Linked DNA regions of Ovis aries. The protein of the gene in region 2 purifies or fractionates together with the protein of the main gene of each other region. This does not show direct contact. Links are inferred from orthologs where the notes say so. Each region holds a gene or a part of one and is shown on either strand. Other genes may lie near its edges. The genes, in order: USP36, DGCR8 and SRPK2.

Evidence for each region.
Region 1: the proteins of DGCR8 (region 2) and USP36 purify together in Homo sapiens (affinity purification with western blotting; 3 studies listed by BioGRID, with this or other methods). This does not show direct contact. The link is inferred for Ovis aries from reciprocal best matches to the Homo sapiens genes DGCR8 and USP36.
Region 3: the proteins of DGCR8 (region 2) and SRPK2 purify together in Homo sapiens (affinity purification with mass spectrometry; 3 studies listed by BioGRID and IntAct, with this or other methods). This does not show direct contact. The link is inferred for Ovis aries from reciprocal best matches to the Homo sapiens genes DGCR8 and SRPK2.

What each region holds. Positions count from the first base shown.
Region 1 is NC_056064.1:52,871,220-52,877,279, reverse strand, and holds part of USP36 (ubiquitin carboxyl-terminal hydrolase 36), read right to left. Parts: intron 4,936-6,060; coding exon 4,825-4,935; intron 3,792-4,824; coding exon 3,689-3,791; intron 1,515-3,688; coding exon 1,447-1,514; intron 1,005-1,446; coding exon 934-1,004; intron 297-933; coding exon 214-296; intron 1-213. UniProt on the Homo sapiens protein: Deubiquitinase essential for the regulation of nucleolar structure and function. Required for cell and organism viability.
Region 2 is NC_056070.1:73,002,160-73,008,219, reverse strand, and holds part of DGCR8 (microprocessor complex subunit DGCR8), read right to left. Parts: intron 4,928-6,060; 5' UTR 4,846-4,927; intron 3,475-4,845; 5' UTR 3,199-3,474; coding exon 2,479-3,198; intron 2,062-2,478; coding exon 1,905-2,061; intron 451-1,904; coding exon 308-450; intron 179-307; coding exon 1-178.
Region 3 is NC_056057.1:47,826,999-47,833,058, reverse strand, and holds part of SRPK2 (SRSF protein kinase 2), read left to right. Parts: exon of another isoform or gene 1-3,976; coding exon 3,977-4,142; intron 4,143-5,296; coding exon 5,297-5,322; intron 5,323-6,060. UniProt on the Homo sapiens protein: Serine/arginine-rich protein-specific kinase which specifically phosphorylates its substrates at serine residues located in regions rich in arginine/serine dipeptides, known as RS domains and is involved in the phosphorylation of SR splicing factors and the regulation of splicing.

The DNA.
Region 1 (6,060 bases), on a different chromosome or scaffold from region 2:
GCCACATGAGTGGCAGCTAGGACAACCACGACCATTTCTTCATCTGTGCTGTTTCGAGGCTTTTAGTTCGAAGACATATTACACCACTCAAGAATGTGGACGGCGGTCGCCTGCGAGGGCGAGGGAGGGGACGGCAGCTGGGTCAGGTTAGGTGACGTGTTTTACCTTGCTCGCTGGCTTGATCTTTTTGGCCACAATCAAACCGAAACTTACTTTGCACACATATAGGCATTCTCTCCGCTCAGGACATCTGGTTTCACAAAAAGTTCCAGAGCACGCACGATGTTTGCAGCTTGCTGAGAAGGACAGAAACAGGGAGTACAGTCAACAGCGGAAGAAAAAGGCTGACTCCAGAAATGCCAAATGTAAGGTCTTTTTCAGGCTGAGGCAGCAGATCACGGCACTTCACTTGCCCAAGAACTGGCCTGCTCGCTACCGCCTTCTGGGAGTCAGCGCATCCCATCAGAGAGGCAACGGGGAACCAGGCTGTGACTCCTCTGTGGACCAGGATCACAGCCCCAGGGGTTCACCACGGCCGACGGGGGTCTGATCCAAACCTCAAGCTGAGGTGAGCTTGGATCCAGCAGCCTCAGAGCGGGGACAGAGGAAGGCTGCTCGGAACGGTGTGCCCTTTGTGTGGAAGCTCCCCGCGCCATGCGGGCCTCCCTGCTCAAGCCCTGCGTGCAGTGGGGTCGCTATTCACATCTGAGGGCACAAAACTGTCCTTTTTTTAACCCCTTTTTTTTTCGGAAAAAGAAAAAGGAACACAGAGAAGATGGCTGAGATGAAACACACAAAAATGGAGGATTCCAAGTATCTCTTTCCTGATCTATTTGGATCACATGCCCTGATCGGTCTTCCCGTTTTGGGTTTTCTGCCCTCTGGCCTCCCCATCCTAACGCAAATGAACATCGACCAGCATGAGGTGTGTACCCGGATTTCCAGTGCCACATCCAAGTAGGGGTCGTAGGTGTCTGAGACGCTCTTGCACATGGAGCACTTCACTGCGAGAGAACGAGGGAACGGTGGGGTGGGTGAAGGGCCCCGGGCCACCACCCCCAGGTCGCCCAGGTTTATAAGTCCGAGAACTGGAGGCACGCTCCCAGCTCACCAGCTCCCCGAGATGGGAGATGCTCAGGAGGAGAGGAGGGCAAACCCTGAGATGCCTGGCTGGCCTGGCCAGGGACACTCACCCCCACCCCAAGGGCAGCGGCCACATCTGATTAACTACGGAGTCCAAGGAAAAGCAACACCAGCGTGTCTACGGGCTCTAGACTCTGCTCCTCCAAACCCCTTCCCAGGAAGGCTGCAGGTGGGGCTGTGGGGCACAGACCCAGGCTGGAGGCCTCGGGGGCCTGGCAGGTCAGCCTAGGGGCCGAAATGAAGCGTTTCGGGTTAATACTCTAATCCCTGGCCAGAAGGGACACAGGACGTTTCTCCACTTACCCCGAGATCGGAGGTAGCCTCCAAAAATCTGATGGACCAGGGTTGTAGCCTGCGTCTGACGATCCAACCTGGAGAAAGGCCACGGCCTTCAGGTGGAGGACGGGGCCAAGAAACAGGCAGGCACCCCACCAGGCCCCATTTCATCACCCGCTCAGCGGTGGCTCCGCCCAGAGATCTCCCATAGAGCAGCCACCTCCTGTGGGATGCCCTCCTGCCCTCTCAGCAGGCAGCCTTGCCTCCTACCGGGAGCAAGAGGCCCGATGGACCTGCAGGCCAACCCTGCCTCAGTGACCCCTGCTCCCGCTCCAGCTCTGCCCTCAGTCCCGCGTGGGCACCACGCTTTCCGGAGGCCGCACGCATGCTGCTAACCCTGCTCCTCTCTCCGCAGGCGGCCCCTTCCTGCCCCCTGCAGAGTGAGCCAGGGCACCCTGGTCTCAGCCGCCCGTCCAGGCCATGTAACTCTTCATGGCTGTGCTGCCCACACATGGGCAGCTGGCTAAGGAGTACAGCTCCAGAACACACGGGGGCCAACACCGAGTCAGCCGACTTTTGCTATGCAAAACTAGGAAACAAAAAGCAACTGCCACCATCTGTCACCAGCACTCATCAGAGAAGGGACATCATAGGTCCAAAAACCGGCAGGGACATAACTTCAGACACACCCAGACCCTCTGGGTGATGCCCCCAGGACAACAGGAGCCGTCAGGACAGGAGGCCGGAGGACCACACAGGGACATACTCTCAGCCCAGCCGGGATGCAGGGACAATGCAGACATTCAGCTGCCCAGAGGCAGGACAGCAGAGCCAGATCAAGACGCCATCGAGACACTGCCACCAAGCGTTCCACCCGAGACCGAGGTCGGGAGGAAACGGCCCCTCCCATGAGGGGAGGCTCCTGGGAGTCCGGGCAGCCGGATGTGGCTGGAAGCAGCCCCGGGGGCAGCAAGGCAGACAGGCTCCTTGCGGGGCGGGGGAGGCAGGGCAAGGGGAAAAAGGAGTGTCCTGAACAAGAAACAACAACAAAAAAACCAAGGCCACACCCCTTCTGAGTCTGGATGAGAGCCACCCACCCTCCAGCATGTGCTTCGCTGCGCGGCCAGAAGGGGGCGCCTGAAGAAAGAACCAGGCCAATCGCCAAACCCCCGTTAGTATCCGAAAGCTACCAGTGCTGCCAGTACAAAATAAGAACCAGCCCCTGGGGGCAGCTCGAAGCAGAACAGTCAGTGCCAAAGCTCCGGGGTGAACTGAAGACCCCAAACGGGTGCATGGGGAGACGGAAGACCACTGTGAACAAGCCTTAAAACTAACATAACATGGCCAAAAGGAGAGAAAGTTCACTGAACTCGGGGAAAAGAAATGAGCTGCCCATGGGGGAAGGACTGAGGGGCACAGGAAAGGGGAACACGGGCTGTGTGTGTGTGTGTGTGTGAGTGTGAGTGTGGCGGGGACAGCTGAGATGCGAGACTACCAACAGCCCAACACCCAGAAAGGGAGCCGTACCATCAAATACACAAGAAACACTCCCAGGAATTAAAGGGAAAAGAGCTTTTGCTGCTCTAACACCAGCAAAAGCAATGCCAGCGTGTTTTCCCGAGGGGAGGGTCACTTCCCAGCCAGGGCGAGGTCACCGATGACAGACCAGGTTCAACTCCATCAGTCTCATCCTCTGAAACAGAGGTTTCCCATCCTCACGGCTACAACTCAACTTAACCTTCGTGAAGGGCATTCCAGGCATGACTCCTCAGCCATACTTCAGAGTCCAGGACTCAGTTCCATTCCAAGCCCAGGCAGCACTTCCTGCCTGCTTTCTCTCAATTGAACCCACAAACCCAAGAATGATACAAAAACATTCTAGCAGCAGCTGTTTCACAAAAGGGAACACTGGTCTATGCCCTCAAATTTCGGCGGAGCGAACCTCAAAAATCATCATCTCCTTACCCTTGAGTTTTCCTGCAGACTTTCAAGTTCTTGCCCAAAGACATTACGCTTCCCACTGCCCCATCCTTGGGAACGAAATGACAAGGCGGTTTCAAAAGACGGGGAGAGCCCCTGACAGCGGTGGAAGGTCCTTGGAGAGATCTATTAGAGCCTGTCCCTCTGCAAGCTGCTGGGGCAGAGACGCCGCCACCTGACCTGCAGCAGGAGAGGCCCCTTCCGGGAGAGCGGTGGACCCGCTGCTGGACCGCTCAGGGGCCCAGTGTGGACGTCCAGAGAGGCAGCTTGTGGGGAGGGGAGCACGTACTTGGCACAGCCGCTCAGGCAGGCCTTCTGCATGGCGTCGATGGTGTACCGCAGAAACTCGTGTGCGTCCTCCTGGTTTCCAAAGCGGAAGTGCCGGGCGATCTCTAAGGAGGGAAGGAAGAGGCGTCAGGCCAGCAGAGAGGAGCCCCCGCCTTCTCTTCGAACGTCCCATTCCCACTGGTCTCATGGCCATCTCTTAGAGGACCCAGGACTAAACCCAAGTGAGGAAACAGAGCCCTGCGTGACGCCCTATGTCCCAGGCACCTCCCTGACGGCAGTTATCTTCCCAGTGAGACCCTCTACGTGTAACAGAAAGCACGAATGGATGCCCAGCAGTAAGGATATGAGCTCCGCTAACTAACTAAGCCGGCTTTCCAGGAGCCAATACAGGCCATGGCAGATCACCACCATGTTGGCCCAATACAATATACACAGGTTTCAAAAACCAATGGGTGGGCTTCCCTGGTGGTCCAGTGGTTAAAAATCTGCCTGCCAACGTGGGGGACACAGGTTCAATCCCTGGTCCAGAAAGATCCCACGTACCACGGGCAACTAAGCGCAAGCGCCGCAACAACTGAGCCTGATCTCTAGAGCCTGCGGGCCCCAACTACTGCGGCTCGTGCGCCCTAGAGCCCGTGCTCAGCAACGGGAAGCCACTGCAAGGAGAAGCCCACAGGCCACAACCAGAGTAGCTCCCACTCGCCACAACTTGAGAAAACCTGCGAGCAGCCTCGAAGACCCAGTGCAGCCCAATAAATACGTAAATACCTGAAATACAGCAACAGCAATGAGACTAAGGGCCCACCTCTGCCAAGCAAAAGAGAAATCTGACTTTCACAGCACATGGGCCCTGGTTCCTCCGGTGCTGAGAAAAGGCCTCGCAGCACTTCCTCACCCACCTCCCCGCCCAAAACACACAGCCCTGGCCTGGCTGAGCCTGCAGGATCACGGGGAAGGGGCCAGGGGTGCGGGTCACCACTGGCTGGCATGCATGCCCCACGTCCATCCGGCCCCAGGGCCAGCTTTAGTCTGCTCCACTCTGTGCCTGAGGCCTCCAGGCTCAACCCCACTCCCGCCTCCCCCAACCCCCAGCACCCCCCGGCAATGCCGCCCTCCCGAGGAGGAAGCCACTCTTACTTCGCAGGTCCCGGATGAAGGACACGGGCTTGATGGCGTTGCCGCTGTTGGCGAAGGCCTGGATGATGTGGTTCTGCATGACACACAGCATGCAGAAGCTGCCCTGGTGACCTGCGGGCGTGGACACGCGGTCACGGTAGGGCTCTGGGAATTCCCAGGAGAGCTGACGTCACGGCCTCCTGGCTGGCAGAGAGCAGAGGCCCCCAGCCCGCCCAAGCCCTGCAAGGCTGGCGGCACCAGGAACCCGTCTCTCCTGAGACCCAGCCCAAGGAGCGTGAGCTGCCAAGCTCGGTTTAGAACGTGTCCTCTGACCTGCAAATCGCATCACATGGTCAATGGCAGAGAACATTTCAGGCTTCCCGACAGACACCCCTTCACTTGCTCTTCAGCATGGGAACCTCTGCTCTGCTGCTCCCAGGAGACACCAGGGCTCAGCCAGCTCCGGGGAGACCCCAGGCCCCGACTCTGCGGCTCTGCTGCCCCAGGGGACACCTACATGGAGGCGGGACGAGTCGGTTGCTGGCCAGATGGTGCCCCCGAGGCTGGGCCAGCCCCCTGCTGGGGATAAGCTATTTGCTCCCCCAGGCGTTAGGCTAGACAGTGCTACACTTCTGTGTGTGTGTGCACGCTCAGTCGTGTCTGACTCTTTGCGACCCCCTGGACTGTAGCCCGCTCCTCCGTCCAAGGGATTTCCCAGGCAAGAGTACTGGGGTGGGTTGCCATTTCTTCCTCCAGAGGCTGTTCCTGGCTCCGGGAGTGAACCTGCGTGTCTTCCGTCTCCTGCACGGGCAGGCAGATTCTAGCTACACTTCTAATTGTGAACTATCTTAAAGACAAAGAGAAGAGCAAAGACGACGACACCGTTTCAGGCGCTTTGTAAGTCAAGCACAGGTATGACGGCTGAACTCCCCTCTCAGCCTCTCACACCCCGGCTCCCCATGTCCTTTGTCCTCTGGCAGCAGGGACCCGCACCCTAACTGGTCAGCGCTGTTCCTAGTCATGGGTTCACCCTACTCCACACGTGGCACTCACCAGTATACTGCGGCTGCACGTTTAAGCTCGCTTTCTATGAACTGTACCAAGCTGCCCTTTAGCCCTCCCTCCAGACCACAGTCCATCCACACAGCCCCCTGCTCACTCACGTCAACCCCTCCCTCTTCCTGCAGTCACAACGCTGGGGTGAGTGAATGGTCCCGTACCCACCTCCTGTATGCGTGTGGGTTTCTCTAAGGCACA
Region 2 (6,060 bases):
CGGCCCCCAGGGGGTCCTTCTCGTCTGGGGGCCCCGCGTCGGCACCCAGGGGGTCGGGCTCATCCGGGGGCAGCTCCGGCTCCGGGGGGGCAAGCCCCGCGCCCCGCTCCCGCTCCTCGCTGTCCTTCATCTTCCGGTAGTGCAGGCAGGGGATGCTGGTCAGGGGAGGGCCGTGTTTCTGCAGGTGGGAAGACCACAGAGGTCACCAGGCCGGACGCGCAGGCCTCTGACACCCCCACCAGCCTGCCTGGCAACCACCTCCCTCTGCAGCCTGCGAGACCACATGCGGGACGGACTCGGCCCCTACCCGGATGCTCCCCGTGCCCAGGAAGTAGGGCCTGGACCAGGTGACCACCCGTGACTCCCGGTGCAGGTACACGGGCACTCCGGAGTTGTGGAACGTCATGATCCAGCCGTCGGGCAGCGGCTCCGTCGGCGGGCGGCCGCGGCCTGCGCGGGGCAAGAACAGTTACGGTCACGGCCGCGCGGGCGCCATCAGGACAGTCACAGTCTGCCCCCGGGCGGAAACAGCAGCACGCTGGAGCCCGCCTTACAGGAAAGCTCTGAGCAGGGTGGGGATGGCCCACCCCCACCAGGAGAGCCCAGCCCCGCCTGCAAGCCCACTCCTCTGAGTGCTGGGCCCGAGCCTCTGGGACCCAAGGGCGCCAAGACCCTCCTCACCTGCTCTAGTCCCCGGACACACCACAGAGCCCTGAGCAGCGCTCCGCAAGACACACGGCCTCGCTGCAGCTCTGCCGCCCTGACGCTGCCTCTCTGCCCGCCTCCCGCGGGTACAGCCACAGGGGCTGGGTAGGCTCCGCTAGGAACCGCAGACTGTGGGTCACTGCTCCCTGTGACCCGGTGGCAAGCCTGCACTGTCCCGAGCTGCCACGGACAGGCCTGCTGCTGGGAGATGCACAGGACCAAGGCTCAAGGACAGCTTGCTTTTCTTACCAGTATTGGGAGCAAGTGAAAAGCTCAGAAACAAAAGTGAAATGCCACGTGGAATCTAAAAAAACACACGGACGAGATGAAAACAACCCCACCAGCTCTTGTGGAAACGGAACGACTCCCTCGTGCCAGGCCTGACACCCGCACGCAGCTGACGCCAAGCGACCGCCAGCGTCAGGACGGCCCTGGGACGGCAGGCAAGGCTGGGCACGCACAGGCCCCCTCGGGCACCCCTGCCCCACAGGCTGGGCCAGGAGCTGCCTGCAACCAGCCCCGGGTAACCAAGGGGGAGGAGGCGTGTTGTCACCGCGAGCAGACCAGCGCGCAGGCGGCAGACACGCGCCCGGCCCTGCCGACGGGCCCGCTCTGCGGCCGGGAAACGGCGCGCCGGCCACGCCGCGGTTCCTGTCATGCTGGCCACCTGCGTGGTGCTCAGCAGAAGGCATCACCTGCGTGCCCGAGTCCCTCCAGCCCCTTCCTGCCGCCCACCCGACACCAAGAGGCACCCCCAGGCCAAGACAGAAAAAGGGGGCCCGAGAGGGCCCCGTGTCAGCAGGTGGCCGCACGGGGCGGCTCTGAGCACCCCAACCGCTCTTCCCGGTATACCCGTGACCCCTCCATCTCTGTCCACACGGGGCCACGGGTCGTGCTTTCACAGCAGACTGTGGAATGAGTCCTGCCTGCTTCCAGTGGTTTCCCCAGCACTCGGCACAGAGCCCTGAACTCAGACGGGGGCCGCGAGCAGCCCCTACGCTCAGCACCGCCCCGTCCATGGCCTCCACGCCCCGGCGCCCTCTCCCCGCACCCTGGCAGTACACAGGCTGTGTCCTCACGCTTCAAGCTGCCGGCCCCGACGGGACCCTCCTGCCTGCAGACGCACACAGCCGCCCAGACCGCCTCCCGGCAGCCTGAGCGCTCTCCCAGGCGCCTTGCTGCTTCCCGGCCCGACTCACTCTTGAGAACGGTCTTAATCTTGGTCATCATCGGCTGCACGCTCGTCTCCCCGTCCGACGGGTGGTCGCTGTCTCCGTATCTCTCCTCCGTGCGCCTCTTCTTGGGAGCACAGAGGCCCTCTTCCAGAAGAGCGTCGACATCGTTGTCAAAATCGTCCTGCAAGACACGCCGTTCAGAGCCCGCGGCCCCTGGCACCGCACTCCCGCCCGTGGGCAGGCGCCAGCGGCAACGCAGAGAGGAGGCGGTCTCAGGGGCCTAGGTGCGCCTCCGGGTGCGCTAGCACCTGAAAAGCAAAGAGGGTGACACGGCCAGCCGAAGCACACGCTCGTGACCAGCAGATCCTTCCAAGTCGGCTGAGACAAGGGCACAAGGCAGACCTGTCACCCAAACTGTGTTAGCAGAGCTGGGACCCCGGGATGCCTAACGGCTCTCTCTCCGCGTAGACCTTCCCGCCTCCTGCGGGTTTTTTCCTCGGCTACGTTGCAGCGCGGGCTTCCCAGAGATGCTGCAGCTCCCAAACGCCTCTCTCTGGGTTTTGCTAAGAGTGCTCCAAAGGAGGGGACGCCGACATACCTCGTAGGAGAAATTCAAGGCCTCTTCGTCCACTCTGTCTCTCTGCACGATCGCTTTAGCCGTGAACCCGCCTGCGCCTTCTTCATCTAGCTCCACATTGTCAGTAAAGTCTTCTAACTCATCGAGCACTGCGTACTCCACTCTCCTTTCCTGATCCAGCTCATGCTCCTCGTCCCTCTTACCCGCGCTCTCACCCCCTGCGCCTACCCCGTTCCCCACACTCCCGCCAAAGGGGCCAGCATGCACGTCCCCACTGACAGGGCTGAGGGCCAGGCCACACTCTGCCCGCACGTCGCGCTCCGCTCCCGTGTACAGCACCTTCCTGTCCTCACTCCTGCAGCTCTCCGTAAAGCTCACGCTAATCTTTACATCCTTAAGCAACTTAAGGTCAGGGGAGAACTTCCGGACCGCAGGTGCGTGCCGCGCTGTGCGCGGGCTGTGGCCACTACAGTTCGGGTCTACGAGGAGGCGGGCCTTAGAGGAGGATCCTTTGGAGAGAAGAGAAGCTCCGCAGAAGGTGAGCGGGTCCTCGGCAGGGGGCTCGGCCTGTCCATCACCACCAGAGCCAACGTCCATTAGGTCTGCATCACTGGACGTTTGCAGGGGAGGTGGTGGAGACTGTCCACGGGGCAGCGCGCGGAGGGGGCGCGCTCGGTCCTCCGTCGCCACTCCTCCTGCGGGCTCGCGCGGGAGAGGAGAGGGGCTCCCACATGTCTCCATGGTACAGTGGTTAGGACTACTTTAAAAGACCAGCGCTTTTAAGAACCTGACATAACTCTAGACAGCTAGCATGCACAAGTCCGCCGAGACCCGGGTGCGTCTGCCCGCGCTGCGCGCGCTGGCGGCTTAGCCCAGCTGGCCACATTGCTCTTTTCATTAATGTAGACAGCTTTCAGAACCACTGCCTCAATTATTGGAAATCACAATGCACTCAGCTTAGTGACCGGCGGCCGCGCGCGTCTGTCCTCGAGCCGAGGGGCACCCGTCCTCCTCCACCTGCAAGAGACGCAAAGGTGCCGTCACACAGCGGCCGAGGCCCCCGCCCCCCGGCACCCAGAGTCCAGTGCCGCCGCCCGAGGAGGGCGCCTTCCACGCTCCAGAACAGGCAAGCCTGACTCCCTTCTTCAGAGCCTGAATGATAACTTAAGTCCAGAGTCAAGTATTTTGCTAGCTGTCCACTGTATTTCCAACTTCAGAAACACAAAAACCATATTATACTTAGGGTCAAAAAGGATTAAAAAAACCGAAACTCCTCCACTACGCTGCACCGCGGCGCTCCCCTGGCTCGGCTCACGCGGCCAACCTCCCACAGCACACGGGGGCGTGTGGCTTCCATCTAGCACCAGTGACGGGGGTCCACTCACCTGCTCGGGCCGGTCAGTCAGAGGGCAAGCAGGCGGCCCTCCACTCAGCTCTGCGGCACTACGGCCTCAGAGGCGCGCCCGGGGCTCCGCCCCCAGGGACCCCAGGGCACGGGGGCAGGGGCAGTGATGCAGCGGGCTGGGCATGGCTCTGCTCCCAGGAGGAGCGCTGGGAGCCACGGGGACGAAGCCCGGCCAGGCGGGCAGGGAGGGGCCACGGGGGCCAGCTGAGCCCAGGCACGGGGGTCCTGGCAGCCGCTTGGAGCCTGGCTCCATGCTGGGGCAGCAGGGAGGCCCAGGGTGAAGGGACCCTCAGGCCACAGTTCAGTCCCTACGCAGAAGGGAGGCCCACACCCACGAGAAGAGCGGACACAGAACTGACCACACTGCCGAGCGGTGGAGGCGGAGAGCGGGACGAGGTAGCCCCGAAGACCCACAGGGCCTCTCCCCAGGGGACACAGGCAGGGCCCACAGAGGAGGGTGCTCGGAGCCTCTGGGCAGGCCCGGCCAACAGGGCCAAGGCCACCAGGACACATCGGCCAGGCGGTCACCCAATCCACAGGGGAGGCCACCCAGAGAGCGAGGGCAGACCAAGACAAGGGCTGGGGACGCAGCCCTGGGGAGTCCACGCCAGAGGGAAGACACCAGGCTGAGAAGGCGAGGCGGGACGCCCAAACACAGGGCCGCGGCAGGGAGGTCCCAGCACAGCAGAACACGTGCACACACGCACACACGTGCACACACGCACCCCACACCGTGCAGACACACGCACGAGCATGCCATGCACGTGGATGCAGACACACATGCGTGCCCACACCCCGCGGGGCGGCTTGCGGGCTGCAGACAGACAGGAAACAGCAGACACCACATGTTTGAGAGGCTGCAGTGGGGGAACAGGACACAAAAGACAGAGGCTTGTCCGGGGCGACCGACCCACCGACGACTGTTCACTGACCACCTACTCTGACGGGGTGTCAGCATGAGCGAGAGGGCAGCAGCCACTGACCTGTCTTCTACTTCCCGGGTCCCAAGGTGTCCTCATGTTTCCGAACACAAGACCTCCCCCGCAGGCACGTCTGCCAAAAGTGCTAAGGACCAAGGAAACAGGGCACACGGGTGGGGACGGACGCGGAGCCGGGAGGCCACTGAGGCGGCACCGGACACGCACGAGGACCGCCGAGCGGGGCGAGGCCAGTCTCCTGGCTCCAAGAAAGCTCATTTCAGACAGGCAGGCCGGCACGCCCAGCACTACAGGACACAGACACGACCAGGACCAAAGCCCTGGGCGCCAGGCAGGTTTGCAGAGGCCCCAGCAAGAGCCCACGCGCGATCCTGGAGGCCACAAAGGCTAAAACGAAGAGACGTGCAGAGACGGGGACACCTCCGGCCACGCTCGGAGCCTGAGAAGCTCAGTGCAGAAGCACAGAGCCAAGATGGTAACGATGAACCTGAAGGGAGGCCTTGAAGAGGTGCCCAGAGTGCAGACTGGGAGCCGCAGCGAGGGGTCCTCGGAGCTTGGGGAGCCGCCGGGCCCCGGGGGCGGCAGTGCGCTGAGGGCTCCGCTGCAGGCTGTCCCGAGCACGCTCCTGACCTTCCCTGTTTGCTATCTGCACCCGTCAACGCCTTCCACGGGGCGCACACAGAACACTGCAGATGCCGAGGACCGGAGGCAGACACAATCCCCAGCCCCAGAGCTCACACATTAGCAGAGAGACGGACAAGTAACCACTAAGAAAAACTGAGACGCGCTCAAGAGAAAGCAAAGCAAGGAGCTGAGGAAAGGGTGGGCAGCACAGGCCTCACAGCCAACACCCCCTGAAGGTGGAGGAGGGGATATTCCAGGCAACACCGAGAAGAGCAAAGGCCCCGGGGTGGGAGCACGGGGTGGCGGATGGCAGCAGTGTGCCCGCGGGAAGAGGCCAGGGCACTGAAGGCAAGCGGAGACAGGCCCCTGGACGGGAGGGTCCGAGCGGCGAGGTCACACGGCCCAAGGTCAGCGGTCGCCCCAGCCCTCGGGCAGGCCCTGCTCTAAGCACCTCACGCACTGTCACACCAGTGCTCACACAGCACCGTGAGAAAAAGGTTAGGGACAGAGACGGCAAGCAACTTGGTCAAGGTCACACAGCGAGAAGGTGGTGGAGCGCTTTACCACCCAGGAAAGGTAGCTCCAGTCTGTACTGCCTTGGTATTAGACTTACGGTTGAAAAGAACAGCTCTGTGT
Region 3 (6,060 bases), on a different chromosome or scaffold from region 2:
CAATTTTCCTGATGAGATCTCTAGTCTTACTTCTTTTGTTGTTTTCTTTCATTATTAAACACTGTTCACTGAAGAAGGCCTTCTTGTCTCTTCTAGCTGTTCTTTGAAACTCTGCTTTTAATTGGATATACCTTTCCCTCTTTCATTTTTCCCTTCTCTTTGTTCTTCTGCTGTTTGTAAAGCCTCCTCAAATAACTGCTTTGCCGTCTTGCTTTTCTTTTTCTTTGGGATGGTTTTGTTCACCGCCTCCTGTACAATACTATGGACCTCTGTCCATAGTTCTTCAGACACACTGTCATATAGATCTAATTCCTTGAATATACTTGTTACCTCTACTGCAAATTCATGCAGGATTTGATTTAAGTCATACCTGCTGGCCTAATGTATTTCTCAGTTTTCTTTAGTTTAAACCTGAACTTTGCTATCATGATCTAAGCCACAGTCAGCTCCAGGGCTTGTTTTTGCTGACTATATACAGCTTCTCCATCTTCAACTACGAAGAAGGGAATCGGTTTGATTTCAGTATTGACCATTTGGTGATGTCTACATGTAAAGTTGTCTCTTGTGTTGTTGAAACAGAGTATTTGCTATGACTAATGCAGAATTCAGTTAGCCTTTGTTTGCCCTGCTTTATTTTTTGTTCTCTAAGGCCAAATTTGCCTATTACTCCAGGTATATCTTGACTTCCTACTTTTGCATTCGAATCCCCATTGATGCATAGAGTATCTCTTTTAGGTGTTAGTTCTAGGAGGTCTTCTAGGTCTTCATGGAACTGATCAATTTCAGTTTCTTCAGCATCGGTGGAATGGGCATAGACTTGAATTACTGTGAGGTTGAATGGCTTGCCTTGGAAACGAACCAAGATCATTCTATCATTTTTGAGGTTGCACCCAAGTCCTGCATTTCAGACTCATTTGTTGATTATGAGGGTTACTCTGTTTCTTCTATGGGGTTCTTGTCCACAGTAGTAAATATAATGGTCATCTGAATTAAATTCGTCCATTCCCGTCCATTTTAGTTTGCTGATTCCTAGGATGTCATTGTTTATTCTTACCATCCCCTGCTTGATCACTCACAACTCACCTTGATTCATGGACCTAACATTCCAGGTTCCTATGCAGTACTGTTCTTTGCAGCACCGGATTTTACTTTTGACAACCAGACACATCCACAACCGAGCGTTGTATCCACTTTAGCCCAGCCACTTTATTCATTCTATTAGTACTTCTCCTCCACTCTTCCCCAGTCGCATATGGGACACCTTAGACCTGGGGGACTCATCTTTTGGTGCCATATCTTTTTGACCTTTTTTAATAGTTTGTGAAGGTTCTCATGGCAGGTATAACTGGGGTGGTTTGCCAGTCCCTCCTCTAGTGGATCACATTTTGTCAGAACTCTCTGCTATGATGTGTCTGTCTTGGGTGGCCCTGCATGGCATAGCTCAGAGCTTCATTGAGTTATGCAAGCCCCTTCGCCACAACAAGGCAGTGATCCATGAAAGGGATTAAATATCTGAAACCTTAAATTCTTACTGAGAACACTTTGCTTGTCTCAAGTGTCTCATTTTCATTGAAATTCATTTTAACACATTTGGATACTGGATCATATTAACTCTTACCTAAGCAGCTTCACACACAGTGAAACAACCTAAGAACTACGAAAGAACTAAGGTGGAAAGTTAGGAACAACTTGTTCATGAGATGGTAGTGAAAGATATTTTTGGAAAGATGCTGACATTTTAACTTTGAGTTAATATTTGATGATTGAAGTGAAATTTTAGTTGAAATAATTAAAAATAGTTTAAACTTTCTAAAAGTCTTATTCCTTTTACTTCCACAGACGGGAAGTCATCAGTGTACTTGTCCATTAATTTCTTGTACTTCTCAGAATTTCTCTTACTACTCATATATAAGAACTCCATGTGATACTTCAGTTTGCCCAAAGAAGATGCATGAATGCCAGTGAATATATACAGGCTCATTGAATTGTGTTCCCTTCAGAATTATAACCTTATTCTCTATGGAAACATATAATGCTATGTTTCGTACTGTTGGTATTTGGACATTTTAAACATAATTTAAACATATTCTAGTTGAAGTATTATCTAAAACATTAAATATTAATTTTAAGGTAAAGTCAAAGCCTCGTGGAGATGGGGAACTTTGTTTATTGCTGTGTATCAAACATCTATAAGCATATGCAGCCTGTTATAGGAGCTCAACTGATGCTCAGTCAGTGAAGTCATGTGAAAGTATTTCCAAGGAAAAGTTTTTAAAATGAATATGAGGATTTTCATCTTGGTTAAGAGACTCATGTTCCTTCTACTTTCCTTGCGAAATCTGTGCCTTCACTTACTAATGTTTTGTCATCTTAAGATTGTTTGGGCTTCCCTGGTATTGGCTCAGCTGCTAAAGAATCTGCCTGCAGAGCAGGAGAACTGGGTTGGATCCCTGGGTTGGGAAGATCTCCTGGAGAAAGGCTACCCACTCCAGTATTCTGGCCTGGAGAATTCCATGGACTGTATAGTCCATGGGGTCACAAAGAGTCGAACACGACTGAGGGACTTCTACTTTCAAGATTGTTTAGCCAGAAACTGAAGGTAGACAGAAGCATTGGGTTTTTGCTGAGAACTTTTCCGAGTTGTTCAGTATTAGATATCTTCTGCTTGTCTTTTCCTCACTTCCTTGTCTAATGTGATCAAGACACCAAATGACTTAAAATGTTTGAATGAAGATGTTTATTAAATGCAAATGTTTATTGAGCATGTAGAATTTGTAATATATGGGAACATGAACTGTATTTTAAAATATTTTTTTTCCTTATGAAAAGAAAGAATTCCCCTCTTATGGAAATAATTCCAGAAAAACTTTGGCCTGGCATTTAGGTCACCATACTCTGTAATTTTTGCTATATATATATTTACACAGACACACACACATGGTAAGTATGTGAGTATCTTGGTTTAGCAGTTTCTTTTAAATCAGTACTATATAGTTTATAGCCTGGGTACCAAAGCTACCTAATTCTCCTTTCCTACAATATTAGAAATGTACAGACATCATTAGCCATTATGGGAATGCATATCAATGAGATACACACTTCACACCCACAAGAGTGACTAAAATGAAAAGACAGATAACAAGTATTGATCATCCGGAAAAAACTGTAATCCTTGCACATTGCTGATGGGAATGTAAAATGATGCAGCCATAGATAGGATAAAACAGCTTGGCAGTTTATTGAAAGACTAAAGATAGAGTTACAGTATGACCCAATAATTGTGCTACTAAGAAAAATAAAGACATGTCTACATAGAAACTTGTACATGAATGTTTATAGCAATATATTTATAGTAGCCATAAAATGGAAAGAACTCAAATGTTCATCATTGAATGACTAAACAAAATGTATTTTCAGTGGAAAATTATTTGGCATCTAAAAAAAATGAGGTATTGCTATGTGCTACACATGGATGAACCTTGAAAGTATTGGGCCAGGTACAAAAGACCACTCTGTATCATTCCACTTACATAAAATGTCCAAAGCCAGGAAAGTAGATTAGTGGTTGCTTAGGGCTAGAGGAGTTGGAAGGAGATGGGGAGTGACTGCTAATGGGTGCAGTGTTTCGTCTTTGTGTGATGAACATGTTCTAAATTATATAGTGATGACCGTTGCACATCTAAAAACCATTCTATTGTACACTTAAAAGGTTGAATTGAAAAAAAAAGGGTGAATTGTGTGTCATGTAAATTATATCTCACCAAAGTTGTTATTTTAATAAGCATATGTTTAAATGCATTTTCTTATATGAGCATAAATTATCTCCAGAATGATATACACTGGTTGCTTATGGGAAGGAGCTGGGTTCCTGTCGGGCCCAAGTTCCTATTGTGCCTTGTAATGACTGTAACTATTTTACAAATAAATGTTGAATAATAGAAGTATTAATAACTCCTTCCTGATTTTATGTGATCAGGTCCTTCAGGGGTTAGATTATCTCCACAGTAAGTGCAAGATCATTCATACTGACATAAAGCCAGAAAACATCTTGATGTGTGTGGACGATGCATATGTGAGAAGAATGGCAGCCGAGGCCACCGAGTGGCAGAAAGCGGGCGCTCCTCCTCCTTCAGGGTCTGCAGGTGAGAGGCTGGGCCAGCTTTGTGTCAGTCTGTGTAGGGGCATTGAGAGCCTGCAAAGTTGTTCATAGGAAGCAGTTGAGTTAAACGTGTACATGTTAGGAACTTGCATAAGAGCCCGATGACTGGTAATAATTAGACCTTTTTCTTGAGAAGGAAGATGCCCCAGTTAAGTCGTACTTTAATATTTGAATTACTTAGCTTTGTCCTCCCTTAAAAGGTCACTGAATTCTTCTTACCTGCTGCTTCATTTTCATTTGAACTCTGTCTGCGTCGGCCACTTCTCTACAAAGGAGTGTATAGTAACAGGTTTCCTGTAGCCAACCTACAATCGTCAGCATGCTTCCTTGTCTCCATTGAGCATAGTTACATCAGTGTAACTGGTGCACTTAAAATTAGTTACAAGAACTTCAGGGTGAAAGAAGATCAACTGACTTGAGCATTGGTGTATGAAGTTTTATTTCTGGTTTTCACAAGGTGTCAAGGTGGCCATGAAGTGTGGATGATGCTTTCATCCTGTCTGCACGTGCTTTCTGCCCTAGTGTGTTGTCAGGTAGCACAGGGACTGCAGAGTGAAAGCCCTCAAACTGAGGCTTTTGGCAGATGAACCACTTATGAATCTTGTTTTCTACCATCAGGTTGCTGTTTAGATAATGGAACCATAGTCTGTGAAGCTTTTGACATTGGCCAAGTCTGTTCATGTCATTTCTAGACTATTTGTAGTAGTATTGGATCTATTTTAGTTGTATGAACTTGTGAAATAGTTTTCAAACAGAGATGTGGAAGTTAATTGTTCATTTCTTTGTCTATAAACAAGTTGGGTTTTGTCACTCTTCTCCATTTTTCTTACCAGTCAGTGTTTTGTGATTGTGTGTTTTTGAAATGAATAAGTGTTTAATTTCAGGTTAATAAGAGAAATGACTCCATGTGAACCACTATGGCTTTGCTTTTTAAGAGCCAATCATTTGTTTGAGTTGGATAAACTTTCTTTAGGACTCTATGATTAACAAGCTTTAATATTTAAAGCTGTTTAAAGTTGTTTAAGTTGCATAGCCATTAAAAGGCAGTAGTTATTTCATTTTACAGTTCAGATTACCTACAAAAAGATAAGTATCTGTTTCACTCTAAATGTTCACTTTATTTTGTTTTGTTTTTAGTGAGTACCGCTCCACAGCAAAAGCCTGTAAGTACTTACATATATACTTCTATTACCTCCTTGTCAAAAGTGACTAGTCATTACTGAACTTTTCTAATTGTAACATTAGTTTTTGTTTCTTTCTGCAACAACTTTTTTTTAAGGGTTGTTTGAGGGAATTAGTTTTACTTTTTTTGTTGTTGTTGTTCCTTTCTCAGTCATAGATGTTGTCATGTATTTTAGCGTAAAAGACAGCCATATTTATAAATGCTGCGTATACTTGAATATGCAAGACAATATTTTGAAAAAGTGAAGTGATTTTTAGAGGTGGGATAATTAGAGCTGTCCCAAATTCTGTATTTTCCTCGTGTACTTTCTGGAGTGCTGTTGGCTGAGTCTGATAAAATGTGAGGTTATAGAGATAGGGTTTTAAGTGTGATTATTCCACAGACACTTTCTATTATTTCTGATTTGCCTCTAAGTTACCTGTTTTTTCTGAAGCTGCTGTTCTAATTTTTTTCCAGCTAGTAGTTAAATGTGAAAGAGCATTATCTGTGTGGTCCTATCAAAATTCCAAGTGTGAACAAATGAAGCAGGCTGTTTGGAATTAAATTCTAGATCTAAACCTGGTTTAGGCTTGGTTCCAGTTAAGCATAGAATATATATATATCTCTCAAGTTGATGGGTCACCTGCAAGTTTTAAAGGTCTTTATGACCCGAAAGCCCTCGGAAGGAAATGTGCAGAACTCCAGAGTGCAGCCAGCAACCCTCAGCCTGCAGTGGGAG